Linked DNA regions of Lepisosteus oculatus. The protein of the gene in region 1 purifies or fractionates together with the protein of each later gene. This does not show direct contact. Links are inferred from orthologs where the notes say so. Each region holds a gene or a part of one and is shown on either strand. Other genes may lie near its edges.

The links. Proteins that work in one complex are often made in the same cells at the same time.
Region 2: the proteins of ppp3ccb (region 1) and rcan3 purify together in Homo sapiens (affinity purification with mass spectrometry; 3 studies listed by BioGRID and IntAct, counting the BioPlex papers as one, with this or other methods). This does not show direct contact. The link is inferred for Lepisosteus oculatus from reciprocal best matches to the Homo sapiens genes PPP3CC and RCAN3.

What each region holds. Positions count from the first base shown.
Region 1 is NC_090697.1:68,025,877-68,033,528, forward strand, and holds the start of ppp3ccb (protein phosphatase 3, catalytic subunit, gamma isozyme, b), read right to left. Parts: upstream 3,003-7,652; 5' UTR 2,459-3,002; coding exon 2,407-2,458; intron 1-2,406. UniProt on the Homo sapiens protein: Calcium-dependent, calmodulin-stimulated protein phosphatase which plays an essential role in the transduction of intracellular Ca(2+)-mediated signals. Dephosphorylates and activates transcription factor NFATC1.
Region 2 is NC_090706.1:4,244,001-4,251,706, forward strand, and holds the start of rcan3 (calcipressin-3), read right to left. Parts: upstream 3,069-7,706; 5' UTR 2,797-3,068; coding exon 2,701-2,796; intron 2,617-2,700; exon of another isoform or gene 2,353-2,616; intron 878-2,352; coding exon 662-877; intron 1-661.

The sequences.
Region 1 (7,652 bases):
CTTCCATTAATATAGCCCTTAATGACAGATCTTTGCACCCCATGCTTAATATTTTATGTAAAATAAAATCAATAACCAACTACATTGATTACTAACTCTGTACATAAGCAATGAAACAGTACTTTCCTCATTCTTAACTATTAATATTAAATTAATTTAAACTAATTTTTAATTCATGGACATGAAAATATTTTAGAAATCCTGAAGCAAATGTAATCTAAGCAAAACTGGTAGACACTCTACTTCCTTCTTCAGCACATGAAATTACAAAACAACCTCTATATCTAAATTACCAAAAAGGTAAAAAATACAAAGATTTATCCCCCTAAGAGGATGGGAAATATCAGTTCAGTGAATTCCGTGATATTTGCATCTTTCTATAGATTGTTCTAATGAAACAAGAATCATTAATATCACTAAAGTGTTTCCCTTGCTGAACACATGAACTTCCCAACACTAAAGTCTATATTAATGTTGTATTTAAAAGCTGTAACGAAGCATTTACTGACAGATTGGGCAAACTCACAGCCTCCGTTTCATTCCTTTGCAAACCCAAATAGTTTTATTAATGAACTCTTATTAACTTATCTGATTCTGTCACTGAAAGTGACTAAAATAACTGAGGATTAGCCTTGCCTCAGACAGAGATGTGAGTGCCAAGGTTGGCTGTGCCCGATTTATTCGTTAGTTTCAACGTGATTAATCACACAATCTTTTACGGCAACATCCCTGAATCAATTAGCATGGATAGGCGTGAATCCCACACTGATCCAACAGTGGTGTCAGAATGCAAACAGCTAGCTCTCTTGGAGCAAAACAGAAAACATCCCCACCTCTGTCGCTTCAGGGTGTGTTTTCATGGCATGCACTTTAAAGAACTTCTACCAACACCTCCCCCTCCTCCATCTTCTGTTGCCCTTGTGCTCTGTCATGTTTCCTTGCTTCAACATAAAACTTGAGAATTAACACACCCTATCCCATCCACAACTCTGCCTGGTTTTCTCTCTTTCATATAGTAGACGTGAATGAGTTACCACTCCATAAAGAAAAAAACCTTTTTGACTCAATTTTATGTTTTGTTACAGTCAAGTCTTGTACCCTACATGTAAAGTATAAAAACTGCCCAATTTATCACCTATGAAAACGGCAAAAAAAAGGTTCACATGCAGCTTTTGACTCCACTGTCTTGAAGAAGGCTGTTCTCCTCACTGCCGGGCTTCTGACGTTTAAATCGCGATTCATTCAAATCCCACGGGACTCATTTCCTCTAATAGCCTTTCCCAATTACAAATCGCCTTACGACCTCTGCTCGGAGATGTGCCATAGAAGGCAGCATTTTACACTCGTTCCAGGTTCTAAAAGAATGCAAAAGCTTCCAAAATGGAAGGGAGTGCGGGCAATACTGAGCCTATTGAAATGATGCATTTTAAAAGCTTGGCGCCAGTCGCAGGATGGCAACCTGACGGAGCTGGATTTTTGTTGATGTAGTTTTGTTTTGCGTTGTGTTCTGACCCAGACAAGGCTCATCCGAGCCCGTTCACCTTGTTACACTTAGACCAGATGGGGCAGTAATTCTTCACATTCCGTCAAGACCTCTTAGCGTCAGGACTGCTGGTCAAGGCGCAGAGCTCAACTGCCAAACAATACTGTTCACCCCAAGCCAGCTGGCTGTTATTCCAGCAAGACAGCTCTGGATCGCTAAATGCAATGTATTATTAGAAATTAGCTTAGGAAATATGTCTTACATGACCTAAGCTATTTAAGCACACACTCAAATGCACGACTACACTATACACGTTTGCAATCATAACTTCAATTCAATCGGACAGCAGTTCTAGGGGATGAATACGATTTTTCAGAGGTCTGCTAAACTGAAAGGCAGATTAGAACTTCTTCCGTACAAACGTTAAAGCAGGACAAGTCATTTGTACAATTGGACAAACCAGAAAGAAATAAAAGTAGTATAAAACGATAAATTAAATAATAATACGTTTCTTTTACTACCGCAGCTGTGTTTTAAGAGTGCTCTTAAACGGCAGCTGGTTTGCACGATGAATGGAACCAAAAACCTGTTTCAAACCTCGTGTGATATAAATACACGTACGATGGGAAACATAACCAGCAAAGTTTAAATGTTCGTTGAAATACGCGACGTAGCTACTGTAGATGGCTAAGCTTGGCATTTCGGACAAGACGATACACACCGCAGATTTACAGCCTGTACTCGACTCTGGTTGGGGGGAGAAAAATGTATTTTTTTACAGCTAGCCGACCCCGATCCTGGTGTGACACGAATGCATGTCCACGTTGGATAGCTTAATTATTGCCGTGCTATTTAGAAAACCCGCCCTAAACGAAAACACAAACAGTAAAAGTTGCTGTTCCGTGTTAGAGAAGACCACTTACCTTTTATAATCCGCTCGGTGGTGGATTGCTTATTCTGGTCTTTCCCAGACATCTTTCACCTCGACTCACCTCAGGAATTTTGTATTCTAATATTTCCCCCTGCGTACGCTTATTCTGTCCTTTTTTATTTCCCCTCGAATTCAAATCCAGCAAACCAGGACAACCCAAAATGGGAGTTCCTTGGTTAGTTAGGAGGTGAAAAAAAATGTGAGGGGAAAGGGGAAAGGGGGGGAAACCCACTTTACTCGACGAAATTATTTTTTCCTGACAAATTTTGCTCTCCCCTCTCTTCTTTTTCGTTAGCTATCCAGCTGCTGTCAATTTCTGTCACAGAATCAGTCCAAACCAGCTAACTTAAAAAATGTAGCCAGGAAAAAAAAAACGGTTTTGCAAATCCACTCTCCCAATTTTGGCGAGTCGAAGTCTTTTAATGCCACGGTGTTTAGCTGCTGGGTTATTTGACTGTATTTCACTGCTTTCGGGCCTATGTCTGCTTTAGGGTTTTTTTCTTCTCTCTCTCTCTCTTCGCTCTATCTTCCAGCCTCTGTCCCTGTTCTCTCGGATTAAACTCTGTAATCCCCCCACAAGCGGATTTCCTACAACATGGCGGCAAGAAACTCGTGAAAGCAATGGCTTTTGGGTAAAGTAGTCTTGATACCGCAGGGGAGGAGAACTAGTACCGTGCTCGAGTCACAGAAAATACTACATTTCCCAAAAAAGACCTGCATTATCGTATTTGATTAAAAGGGTGCCACCGTGGATTTCTGGGAAATGCAGTTTAGGACTTCAGTACTGTTTTAAATGACAGTTCACGTTTTGAACTACATATTCCAGAAAGCGCTGCTTTAGACACAAACAGTATGAAGGCCTTCGGGAAGTTGTGTTTTATTTAACGTTGGCGGTCTTTTGACTAAAATGACAATGATGTGTGTTCTGCAGCTTGAATCGACTTTTATGTTCCTGAACAGTATTCATTGTCTAGCACTAGAGATGGTGCTTAAATTTCAGATTTCGATATCAGATTTACAAATTGCAAAACCATTATAAATCATTCTGTAATATCCATACACTGTAAATTATATTCCTACACTTCAGAAAAGTTGCATCTGTTCAGACCCACAAATATGATTTGCAACATTTACTGACAGAAATTTAGAAATGTGGAATTGTGAATTTACACATACAATGGTGATAAGTGCAGTGAGAATGCTGAAGTTCATTTTTAAGCACTTTTCAAATGAAGCAGAAACTCAATGGTTGTAATGCATTCTTGGAATAATGATGTCATGGATGTTGCGAGGTGAAATGACCAAGTCGTTGAAAGGCCACTCCTCTACTGATGCTGCCAAGTGCCAATACCACTCAAGATCCAGCAAGATCTACTCAACCACTCATAGGACTATCAAGATGGTCAACACAATGCATCACGTCTGCACAGTAACAGTGATGGTTAACTCAACTATTTCTTCAGGCACCCGACAATATGGTAAGAATGAAGCAATGTCATTTGGTTTTGTGTGTGTGTGTGCTCAACAGAAAAAAAATAGCAAGGGTGGCATTCTATGTCTTATTTCATGATGGTAGAGCATAGTATACTGTAACAATCACTATAAACTGAGGTCTAAAGAAGCAGCATATGGGGTGGTTGGATATTTATCGTCACCAGTGACAGTATTTGTTCCTGAAGATTGACATAATGTAATGTAGTAGGTGACATTCAGACACCAGAAACTGCAAAGGAATCCATCTTGGGTAAGCTAGAGGATATCCATTAGAACATAGCTCAAACCAGTAAGTCTTAAAGATGATGGTATAATAACTATTTCTAGGGATCAGAAGCTCTTGTTAGGCTAATGATCTCCTGAGCAAGTAGTTAGTCATCTTAAAGGAAGTCTGGTCTTTAAGGGCTAAATATTATTTAGGTTTTTTTCTGTTTCAAGCAATCTTTAAATAACAAAGTACCTACTCAATGAATAATAAAACTTCCAAATCTTTATACATTGATGTTTTAATGAATTTAGACTAAGAAGGAACACGGCTTCTTCATGGTATCTGGATCGTACAAGAAAAGGTTCAGCAATATTTATAGTCTCAAAGGACAGTACAAAATCAAAAGATGGAACACACCACTGAGGTTTAATGTTTTGCCATTGTCTAACAATTTCCAGACATGGGGCTTAAGAAACAAAAAAAGCAACAGATTTAAATTGAATAAAAAAAGGCCTTTACTAGGGGAAATATACAATAGAAAAGCTAACCAGGTTTCTACAAATGCACTAAAGAAGAGACATACACAACATTTTTTTTTACTTTCTCCTAAACACTTGTATGTCAATTTAGCTTTGCTCAGCAGTATTAAATAAATATTTAAATACATTTTAAGATGCTTAAACTGCAGGCTGTTTCCTATCCCTTTTTGTTCAGCACAGATCCTCTCCCACCCCCTCCAGTCATCTTAATGGGAGAGGTAGTAAGTATGTAGGACGCGTACATGTAATAACACATTTGCTTATTTTCAGTTTGAGCACCAAATCCTCAAAAAACACATTGAAGCTCTTGACAAGAACAACCTAAAAGAAAGTTGAGGAGTTACACATAAATTGTGCTCTCTGGAGGATAACGGTTTAAGACGTCATTCATAATAAGGGCAATACAGGACTCTTGGATTACTGTCAGTATTCCAGTATTCTTCCAGTTGAATACCAGGTATGTTATACCTTGATCTTTGTAGAGATAATATATACAGTTGTAAGAAAAAGTTTGTGGACCCTTAGGAATTATATGGATTTCTGCATGAATGGCTCCTAAAATGTGATCTTCATCTAAGTCATAATAATAAATATAGTATTATTTAACAAACAACACACACAACATTTTACATAGCCATATTGTTATTGAACAAATGGTTTTAACAATCAAGGTCATTGATAGAAAAAGTATGTGAACCCTTATATTTAGTAAGTAATGAAACCCCCTTTATTGGCAATAATCTCAACCAAATGCTTCGGTTAGGTGGTATTTAGGCCCATTCCTCTATACTAAACGGTTTCATTTCATGTATAATTTTGGGATGTCTTGCTTGAACAGTCTGTTTCAGATCACGCCACAGCATTTCAATGGGATTGAGGTCAGGACTCTCATACAGAAGAATACGGAATTTCTTCTGTTTGAGCCACTCTGTTGTGGATTTACTCCTGTGTTTTGGATCATTGTCATGTTGCATGACCCAACTTCTTTTGAGTTTTAGATCACAGATTCCCTGACCTTCTGCTGTAGAATATCCTGATACAACTTGGAATATATTAGTCCCTCAATGATTGCAAGCTGTCCAGCAAAGCAGCCCCACACCATTATACTCCCACTCCCATGCTTCACAGCTGGGATGATGTTTTGGTATTGGTATATGGTGTTTTGTTTTCTCCAAAGAAAACGCTATGTACAGTATATTTACCAAAAGGCTCACTTATTGTCTCATCTGTCCACAGAACATTGTTCCAGTAGTGATGTGGACCATCCAGGTGGACTTTAGCAAAGTTGAGACAGGCAGCAATGTTTTTCTTGGAGAGCAGTTGTTTCCTTCATGGTCACCTCTCATGAACACCACTCTTGTTCAGTGTTTCTTATGGTAGACTCATGAACACAGACATTATCAAGTGCAAGAGATGCCTGCAGATCCTTAGCTGACACCCTAGGGTTCTTTGTCCCCTGTTTGAGGATTTTATGATGTGCCCTTGCTACCAGTCTTTGTAGGATGCCCACTCCTAGGGAGAGTAGCAACAGTGCTGAATTTCTTCCATTTGTAAACAATCTGCCTGACTGTGGACAGACAGAGGTCCAGGTCTTCAGAAATCCAGTCTTATGAGCTTCAACAACTCTTCTTCTGAAGTCTTTTGAAATCTCTTTCGATGAGGCCATATTGCAGTTCAACAGAATTCTGTTGTGAAGAGCAGGTAACCAAAGTTGAGATTTTTTTAATATGGCAGGGCAGGTCAAACCCACACCTGAATTGATTAGAACACCTGACTCCAATTACCCTCTTTTCAAGATGTCATTATCCTAGAGGTTCACCTACTTTTCCCATCAATGACCTTGACATTTGTTCAATAAAGATACGACAATGTAAAATGTTGTGTGTGTTGTTTGTTCAATAAGACTGTCTTTAGTTATTATTAAGACTTAAATGAAGATCAGATCACATTTTAGGAGCCATTCATGCAGAAATCCAGATCATTTCACAAACTTTTTCTCACAACTGAACATTTGAAACTGGAGATTGGGTATCTAAAAAAAAAAAAGAATTTTGAATGTGAAACCAAAGCCTGCTGAAGACTAAATAAATCAACAGGCAAGTAACATTGTGACTCCCATTCTCTCCTTTTTCAAGAACTCACATTTTGGTTTCTCCATTTACATTTTCAATGATTGTGCATCATAAAGTCTCCAATGGCATTGAAGCCCGCTCCCAAAAATAATTCAACACCTACAAGTTGCTCATTCAGTTGATGTGACTCCATTTAGATGAGAGCTAAAGGTTTTTCTGCTACAAACAATTGTCAAAATTTGAAAGCTCCATCATCTAAGAATATTGATAAGAATACACATTCTAACAGGCTACAGAAGAGATTACAAACTCTTCTAAGTGTTCTAATAAGGTAAGGGTGCTAAACTAATCACAATGCCTCTAATGAGCAGAAACTGTAATGTAAAACCTCTTAATTTTAGCTTATTCTACTAAAACATGACATGCAGCACCTTGAATTTCATCAGGTTAACAATTTGGTAAGCAACATTGTAAATCAAAACTAAACTGAACTTCCTATAGTCATGAGGGAAAGTACTCAAGAGCTGCCAAATGATTAGCGAACATCGTTGGTCTATAGAAACTTTAAAAACAGTTTGACACAGCTAATTCAAAACAGAAAACAGGCTCTATCCTACAGCATTTTGTACATGACAAAACTTGTACAGTGTAATCTATGTAATGAGTTTTATATTTGACTTCTTTACAAGATATTCTTGTAAAGTAAAAAAAAAGTGAGAAGAATGGGGCTCTTTGGGAGATCAACTAGCCTTTTACCGCATTTCAGTTATCTTCAGTTTGACAGGGTGGTGGAAGCATATTTGATCACATTTAAAACTCGGTCTGGAAGCTGGACTGCAAAATTCTCATGCATGCTGTTCATTTTGAACTTTACAGAGACGAAAGAAGACACTGGGTAGCATCTGTTCATCCATCCAACAAGTGC
Region 2 (7,706 bases), on another chromosome or scaffold:
TAACACAGGAGAGGAGATCTGAGCAGGAATCGGCCCACACTGAAAGAGATGCGAGACCACTCTTGTCACTGTTAGCCTGAGTGCACGGCTAGCATTTACTGGACCATACAGCAGGTGCACATTTCCACAGTACATTAGGATTGAGGTCACCTATAGCAGGGTTCTGGCTCTTGTGGAGAATTCTGGTTTCCAGACTCACTGCTCTTCATTGCTTCAGAAACCTCAGTGCACGCGCCTGCTATTTTTCATATCGGCAACCTGACAATTGCTTTATTGTACCCTTTTGAGCGGTGCCAGCAATATTAAATTATTGATCCCATGCCTCTGATCAAGGCAACGCACACTTAAAAACAAATAATGCAGGGTAAAGAAAATCCATATTACACATGGCTGGATCAATTGTATGTATTGTATTATTATTATTGTATCATTCGTTACACTGTGGCTGTGTTGTCTGTGTTCAGCTGCTGTTGCACTGCAATTTCCCTCACGGGATCAATAAAGTATCTATCTATCAATACAGGCACTCACTCTGAGCGCAGGTCAGGGGCTGGAGGCCAGGTAGTGCCGCTGGGTTAACTGTTACTGGGATCGCTTCTCCACTGGGTGGCACACAATGACACGACCAGGACACCCTGCCCCTTGGAGCTTCAGTGCTCACCCGGTGCAGGTCCTCCTCGAACGCGGCCTCGTGGACGCTGCAGGCGAACAGGGACGTGGGCAGGTCGCTGAGGTCCATCATCTCCTCCGCGTCCTCGTCGTTCTCCCCGAAGATCATCTCCTCTTCCTCCTCCTCCTCCTCCTCCTCCGGGTCGCTCCAGGCCTTCCCGCCGTCTCTCAGCATGGTGGGATGGGAGTGGGCCGGACACTGTGCGTGCTGAGGGGACAAAGAGTGGACACTCAGCAGCTGCCCTGTCGGTGCAACATCCGACACGCATCTTCGTCTGTTTCTGCATCACCATGTACGGTGTGGTTGGGTTTCGAAAGGCGCTTTATAAATCACAGCTATTATTATTCATGATTATTTTCTGCTGGTTCCCCTCTGTCCTAAGCCTTTACCTGTTCTTTTGCAGCCTACGCACGCTGACGCAGCCCGCTACTCAAACATCAATATTGTTGTTGTTGCGGTCCCTTGTTTTTTTAATTGTTTGAGAAAGAATTGAAAGGAAGAAGCGGGGAAGGAAATCACTGGAACAAGAATTGTATGCTTCTTCTGCTAAAGTGTTATTTAAACGCAGGGTGTTTAAAACTAAGATTGCACTGATCTTTTGTATACCCGTGCTCCACCCCGTACAGTAGATGCAATAATAGATATAAGAAACAGAACATACCACATAGGTAACAATCAAGGAATAAAAATGACTTTTTTAGATATTTACAATAACGTCTGTCTAACACGTGTTGCACAAAGCAGGAAGGCATTTTTTATGCAGGTAATTATTGTAATATTGTTAGATTGATTGAAACAGAGAAAAAATACATATTTTCCTAGACGACAATCAAGTGTTGTGACAACCATTGCAAAGACATAAAGAAAATAACCACATTCGTGACTACCGCCCTCTTACATAACAGTGTTATTACTATTTTCACAGACAAATAGTGCATAGTTTTGAAGTGTGAATACAAACATACGTCAGGTATAAACAGAAACAGCACTGTGAACGACCTCCACTCTAAACCATAATTTGTCGCCCCGCAGCGACATCATTCGAAAAAAGCGGTGAAGTGCAGATGAGGTAAATACACCGTGATGTTATATTTGAGGAACATAACATAAAAGAACTTTACTCTCATGTGGCGTCTACATTTCAAACAATTAAAACGTTCGACCTTCAAGACCATATGTTTTTTAATTAATACACCATATCTTTTTTAATTAATACACCAGCGGCGTCTGATCGTGGAACTCATCGTAGAAAGTTGTTTTATTATTATTCATAAACGTTGCAACACAATCTAAGGAGCACAGATTTGTTCCTCTTAACAAAGTATACCGTTGTTATCTGTGCCACCCCGTACTTAAGTATACCGAGACTGTTCACAACACTGGTCGGAGAAGATTCGTAGTAGCGTTGTAAGAGCCGCCGTTACATGCACCTAAAAATATGACGGGCTAACAACGAAATAGACTTAAAAATAGCCGTGCGTGTGGGACACCAGAGCCCGGCGACACACACGGACCTCGCGTCACACCGGCTCAATGTCAAAATGACAACCGAGCGCGGTTACATCACGCAGCCCCAGCGTAGCCGGCGCGTCTTCCTGCCACCTCCAAATCACGCTCTCCGCGGATCAAGAGGACCCCTCGGGTCAACTCCAAATCGACAACGGGCGGATCGCCTTACTCACCACAAAGCCACCCGCGTTAACAGCCCGCCGACTTTCCGCTGCTCTTGGATTTAGCGCAAAACGAACGCGCAGCGCAATCCTCGGGCTGTTTTGGTGCGCCCGCAGCTGTATTTTCACAGCTGGAAGTTATATCGCTCAATCGCCCGTGCATCACCCCCCCTTCCCCTCCCCACCCTGTGACCGCTCCGGCTGCAGGTGGGTGCACCCTACACCTTCATCGGAGGGCTGCAGGACAGGACCAATGGCCTGCCGCCCCTCTCGCTGGGTGACCAATCGGCACGGCGGCGGACGGGGTCGGGGAGGCTGCGCGTCAAGACTGGTGGCGAGCGCCGGGTGAACACGGCTCACCTGGGAGGATTCGCCGTGCCGGCGGCGACAGCTCGGCCAGAAGCACCTCCCGGCGCTCGGCGAGGACAGCAACCAAAAAAAATGAATGCGGCCCATTCGTGGCTGTTTCCATTCGGCGTCTTTCAGTTTTCAGAAGTCGCGGATTTCGTTTTAGTAACAAAAAAACAAACAAAACAAAACTGGGGGCTTCGGACGGTTCTTCAAAGGAGCTGCTTCCTGCACGACACGGGTTCCCATGGCAGTGGCACGTCTAACAAGTACCCGACGCGAAAAGAAAATTAAAAATGAAACGTCGTACAAAGAAATTAAAAAAACGTACGAGGTTAACTAGAGTAGATAAGAGAAAAGAGACTGCGCCTCCAAAATGAAAATGAAAAGGCCATTCTTAATCCTGATAACATCCAAAATATGCTTTAAGAGTCCCCTGTGTGCCGTGCAATCTACAGCGCAAATTTTATCTTATGAAGGAATAATAATAAAGCCTTACACTTTTATAGGGCTTTTCTGGACACTCCACTCAAAGCGCTTTACGGGTAATGGGGACTCCCCTCCACCACCACCAGTGTGCAGCCCCACCTGGATGATGCGACGGCAGCCATAGTGCACCAGTACGCTCCCCACACACCAGCTCTCAGTGGGGAGGAGAACAGTGATTAAGCCAGTTCAAAGATGGAAATTATACCCTACTCATTTCAAGAAACGCCCTGGGATTTTTAATGACCACAGAGAGTGAGGACCTCGTTTTTACATCACACCCAAAGGATGGTGCCTTTTTACAGTATAGTGTCCCCGTCACTATACTGGGGCATTAGGACCCACACAGACCACAGGGTGAGCGCCCCCTACTGACCCCACTAACACCTCTTCCAGCAGCAACCTTATCTTTCCCAGGACATCTCCCATCCAGGTACTGACCAGGCTCACACCTGCTGAACTTGTGAGTCTTTCCGATTAATTTACAATACCATACACTTCAAAGTGTCTCAATAAAATGTGTTTAACTAGAGGTCATTCTTATTTTTTATGAGAAGAAACCTTCCAGATTTACAGTAAGTATTCTAGCATATTTAAGCACTTCTTAAAAGGTTATTACTTACCAAATGCCTTGTAAATGCAAGGTGAAGTGTAACCTGGTGTCTGCCCCTCCTCTGACATTGCCTCGTTTTTTGCTCCACAAGTAGGAACTTGTTCAAAAGAGGGCATCTGTTGCCACGGCAGCAGTCACGCTCATCCGTCACTGTAATTTACAAAGAACATTCAGAGCCGCCTGAACTGTGCACTGATATGATTTTATTTGCCGACACAGCACAGTGTGAAGGGAGGCTAAAATTTGTAGTACTAAAGGACAAGTTAAGCAACGGGCATTCAAGTTTTCCTGTTTTCCTCCCAAATCCAATAATCTAATTTAGTTTGGCTTCCGAGCACCATATAATAAGAAGTGTTCCATTGCTGGCTCTGCTGCGGTTCTGATAATATTGTTAGTGCTGTGTTTCTTGTGTAAACACATTTGTTGTATATACATTAGGGGAACTAGAGCAGAGCAAAAAAAAATCAGAAAGGGACAGGGAGTCAGTATTACAAACTTCCTGGAGACAAGCGCACACACATTTGTGGGTTCGCAAAAATCTGTGTGTTTTTTCCAAATTGATGACTCTAAAATGTTGCTGGACAGCAAAGCAATATGCTTATTTTGAACATCTAAAATGATTTTACAACACAGAAGCTTACTGAATTCTTCAGCACTTTTGAAAGCTTTTGTACCTTGGTCTATGTCTTCTCTGGAGAAATTCACAAAAGATAAAGATTTAAAGTACTAACAATTAGAGTTAGCGACTAAGAAGCCTGTGAACAAGAACTATGTTGGGATCAGCTCCTTGGGCATTAGTTCTGCCATGGGTAATGAGAGTTAAATCATTAACTTTTGCTTAACCGAAAGATTAACTTTGTTGAATTATCTCCAGATTTCAAAACCATAGCCGGGCTCTGCAGGGAAACATCCCACACAAGGTGTTACTATGGCAGACAAGTGACAGGAAGCTGTGATAAAAGGCAGTGTAAATAAAATGATTAATAACCAGCAGTGGAAGGAAAAGGGATCAGTTCATACAGGAATCAGACAGCTCTAGCCAGAGTTTGGGGTATATTCTTGTTATCAAAGATGGGATGCACAACCAGCACAGAAGTCAAAACACAGAATCCTCCAACAAACGCCCCAAAGGACACACCAGGTAAGGTTTTCTTTATGTATTTCAACATTAAATTAAAGAACTGTTTTGAAATGTTTAGGACATATTCTAATTTGGGAATTTTTAGTTTTTAAATGAAGATGCTTTCACGTGTTTAATGCTCTTACATTCTAAAGTCACATTCCTTGTTTTTCAATTGGCAGTTTTCTGTCTCTATCCATCTTCTCTGCTCCAACCAACAAATATGGGCATATTTCAGCAGCCCTCAAAACAGGAGTGGAAAAGTACGATACCAACACAGCCATCTTTAATTATTGCAGATGTCTGTGATCAAATGAAGTTAATATTAAAATTAATTCATTTGCATTCAGGGTATCTTGAAAAGTAAAACTAAAGTGAAAGGCATACATTAGATAGGCAGGCAGCAGATTAAATTTGAAAAGGAAATAAAGGTGCAGTTCATATGAAACAGTACTGCAAAACCTGAGTAATGTGTAACTAGTTTCCACTGTGGTTTGAATGGGAAACAGAACATTGGCATTCCAAATCTGTCATGTATTAACCTAATTCAGAAGGTCGTTAATGAATCTTCTGATTATGGAGTATTTGATAGTTCTTTTGACTAACTATATTCTAAAACAGCAGTAAGGAGAGTGAGGCAAACTTATTATTCTGAATTAAAAAATCTTGTTTTCAGAACTCACATTCATTTTTGATGAGACTGTAGTAGTTTAGAAGCTATGCCTAATATCTGCGTCTTTACACTGACTAGTGTGCATTCAGAGAAGTCAGTCTTGTTCGATAGCTTTCCTCAGTGCTGGGTCAAGTACTGTACCACCATAAAAACACAAGACAGGTTACGAATGAGAGGAGCCATTCAGCCCATTTGATAGTATTTAATTGATCCAAGGATCTCATCCAGTGGCTTTGTGCTGTACTTGTTTCAGCAACATGGTTGGACACCCTGTATTTCCAGCCCAGAAGATGTTCATTTGTCATTTTGTGATATTATTGTCAGGCAAAGCGAAGATTCTTCCATCTTAAAAAGTACTGGTTAATTCAAAATCATACAGTTCTGATGTACTCTTCTCATGTGCTTCATTTAAATTCTATTTAACAGGTCGACTCTTCATCTGCTTAGAATTATTTAGCTTTTCAGGTTCAATAAAAATCTCTGAACAAAGTCTGTGATGATGCTTCTATAGAATCTCTTTTTTTCTCCTTTTTAATTGTAGAGAGAAATAAAACTCCAGTTTCCCAGTTTGAAGAAGTCCTGGACCTAGCTGCCACTACGAGTATGGCCTGTGCACAAGAACACTCATTTTCGGCTCTCACAGTTAGGGGGCAACGCAACTACAGAAGACCGTCTTACTTACTAATCCATCCATCTTCGAACTGCTTTACCCAGTTTGGGGCTGGGTGGGTGCCGGAGTCTGGCCTGGCCAGCAGTGGGTGCAAGGCAGGGTACACCCTGGACAGGACGCCAGTCTGTCACAGGGGTCAGAGAGACACTAACATGCACACACAGAAATATTTGAATGAAAACGTAGGGTTACAGACCATGCTCTGTAGAAGATCCATAGTTCCTTTATTAATATAATAAAATAATAAACTTTATTTTATATAGCGCTTTTAAAGGTGGCTTCTCAAAGCGCTTTACAGAATGACAACAACAATAAATAAAAAGGATACACAAGATAGAACACAATTACAATACACAGAGGAGACAGTAGATGGTGGTACTAAGTATAGTAGGAGCAGAGGGGTAAAGAATGGAATCAGTTAAGTAAAGACTCTTTTAAAGAAGAACGTTTGAGTCTGGGTTTGAAGGAGTTTAGAGAGGGTGACTCTCTGATATCCTTGGGCGGAGAGTTCCAGAGCTTGGGGGCAGAACAGGAGAAGGCCCTGTCACACATACAATGTAGATGGGTTCTTAATCCTTAATGGGGGACAGTTAGGAGACCAGAATTAGAAGAGTGAAGGTTGCGAGATGAGGAGTAGGGCGATAATAATTCAGACAGGTACTGAGGTGCCAAGCCATGCAGAGCCTTATAGATGAGCATGAGGATTTTAAAGTCCACATGGAATTTGACAGGAAGCCAGTGTAAGGACTCTGAGGATAGGGGTAATGTGTACACTTGCACTAGATCTGGTCAGGATTCTGGCTGCCGTTAAGTTGGCAATATATCAGTTTAAAATGGCTTTTGATAAAGGAAGCACAGAAGATATTGCCTGTTCTTTAGGAATTGAAGCCCATTGCAGGCCACACACAGACAAAGATACACTCATACCAGGGCCAGTTTTCCCAGATGCCAGTCAACCTTTCAGCACGTTTTTGGACTGTGGGAAGAAATTGGAACACCTAGAGGAAACCCACACAAACACAGGAAGCATGTACCAACTCCACACAGAGAGGACTACAGGAACTGGGCCCAGGGCCCCAGCACTGCAAGGCAGCCATATTAACCACTGCGCCACTGTACTGTCCGTTACTTGCTAAATAAACCCTAAAATATCAACTAACAAAGCAAACCAGTATAGCCTTGACACATCAAGATTTAAACTAAAGAAAGATACATTTACAGTTTGCAAAGGAATAACTCTTCAAACTGAATCCCAGAGCTCCACAATCCTGTTAGTTCATAAACTGAAGGCGTCTGGAACAAGCTACCCAACTATGTTGTGGAAGGCCTCTTCAAAGCTGTAGCTGTTCTTAAATTCTTAAAGGTCAAGAATTGGTGCTACTTAAGAGGCACAAGTAGTTATGTATAGTCCACGGTTTGCATTAATATATTAAAAACCTAATGGATACTTCCATTT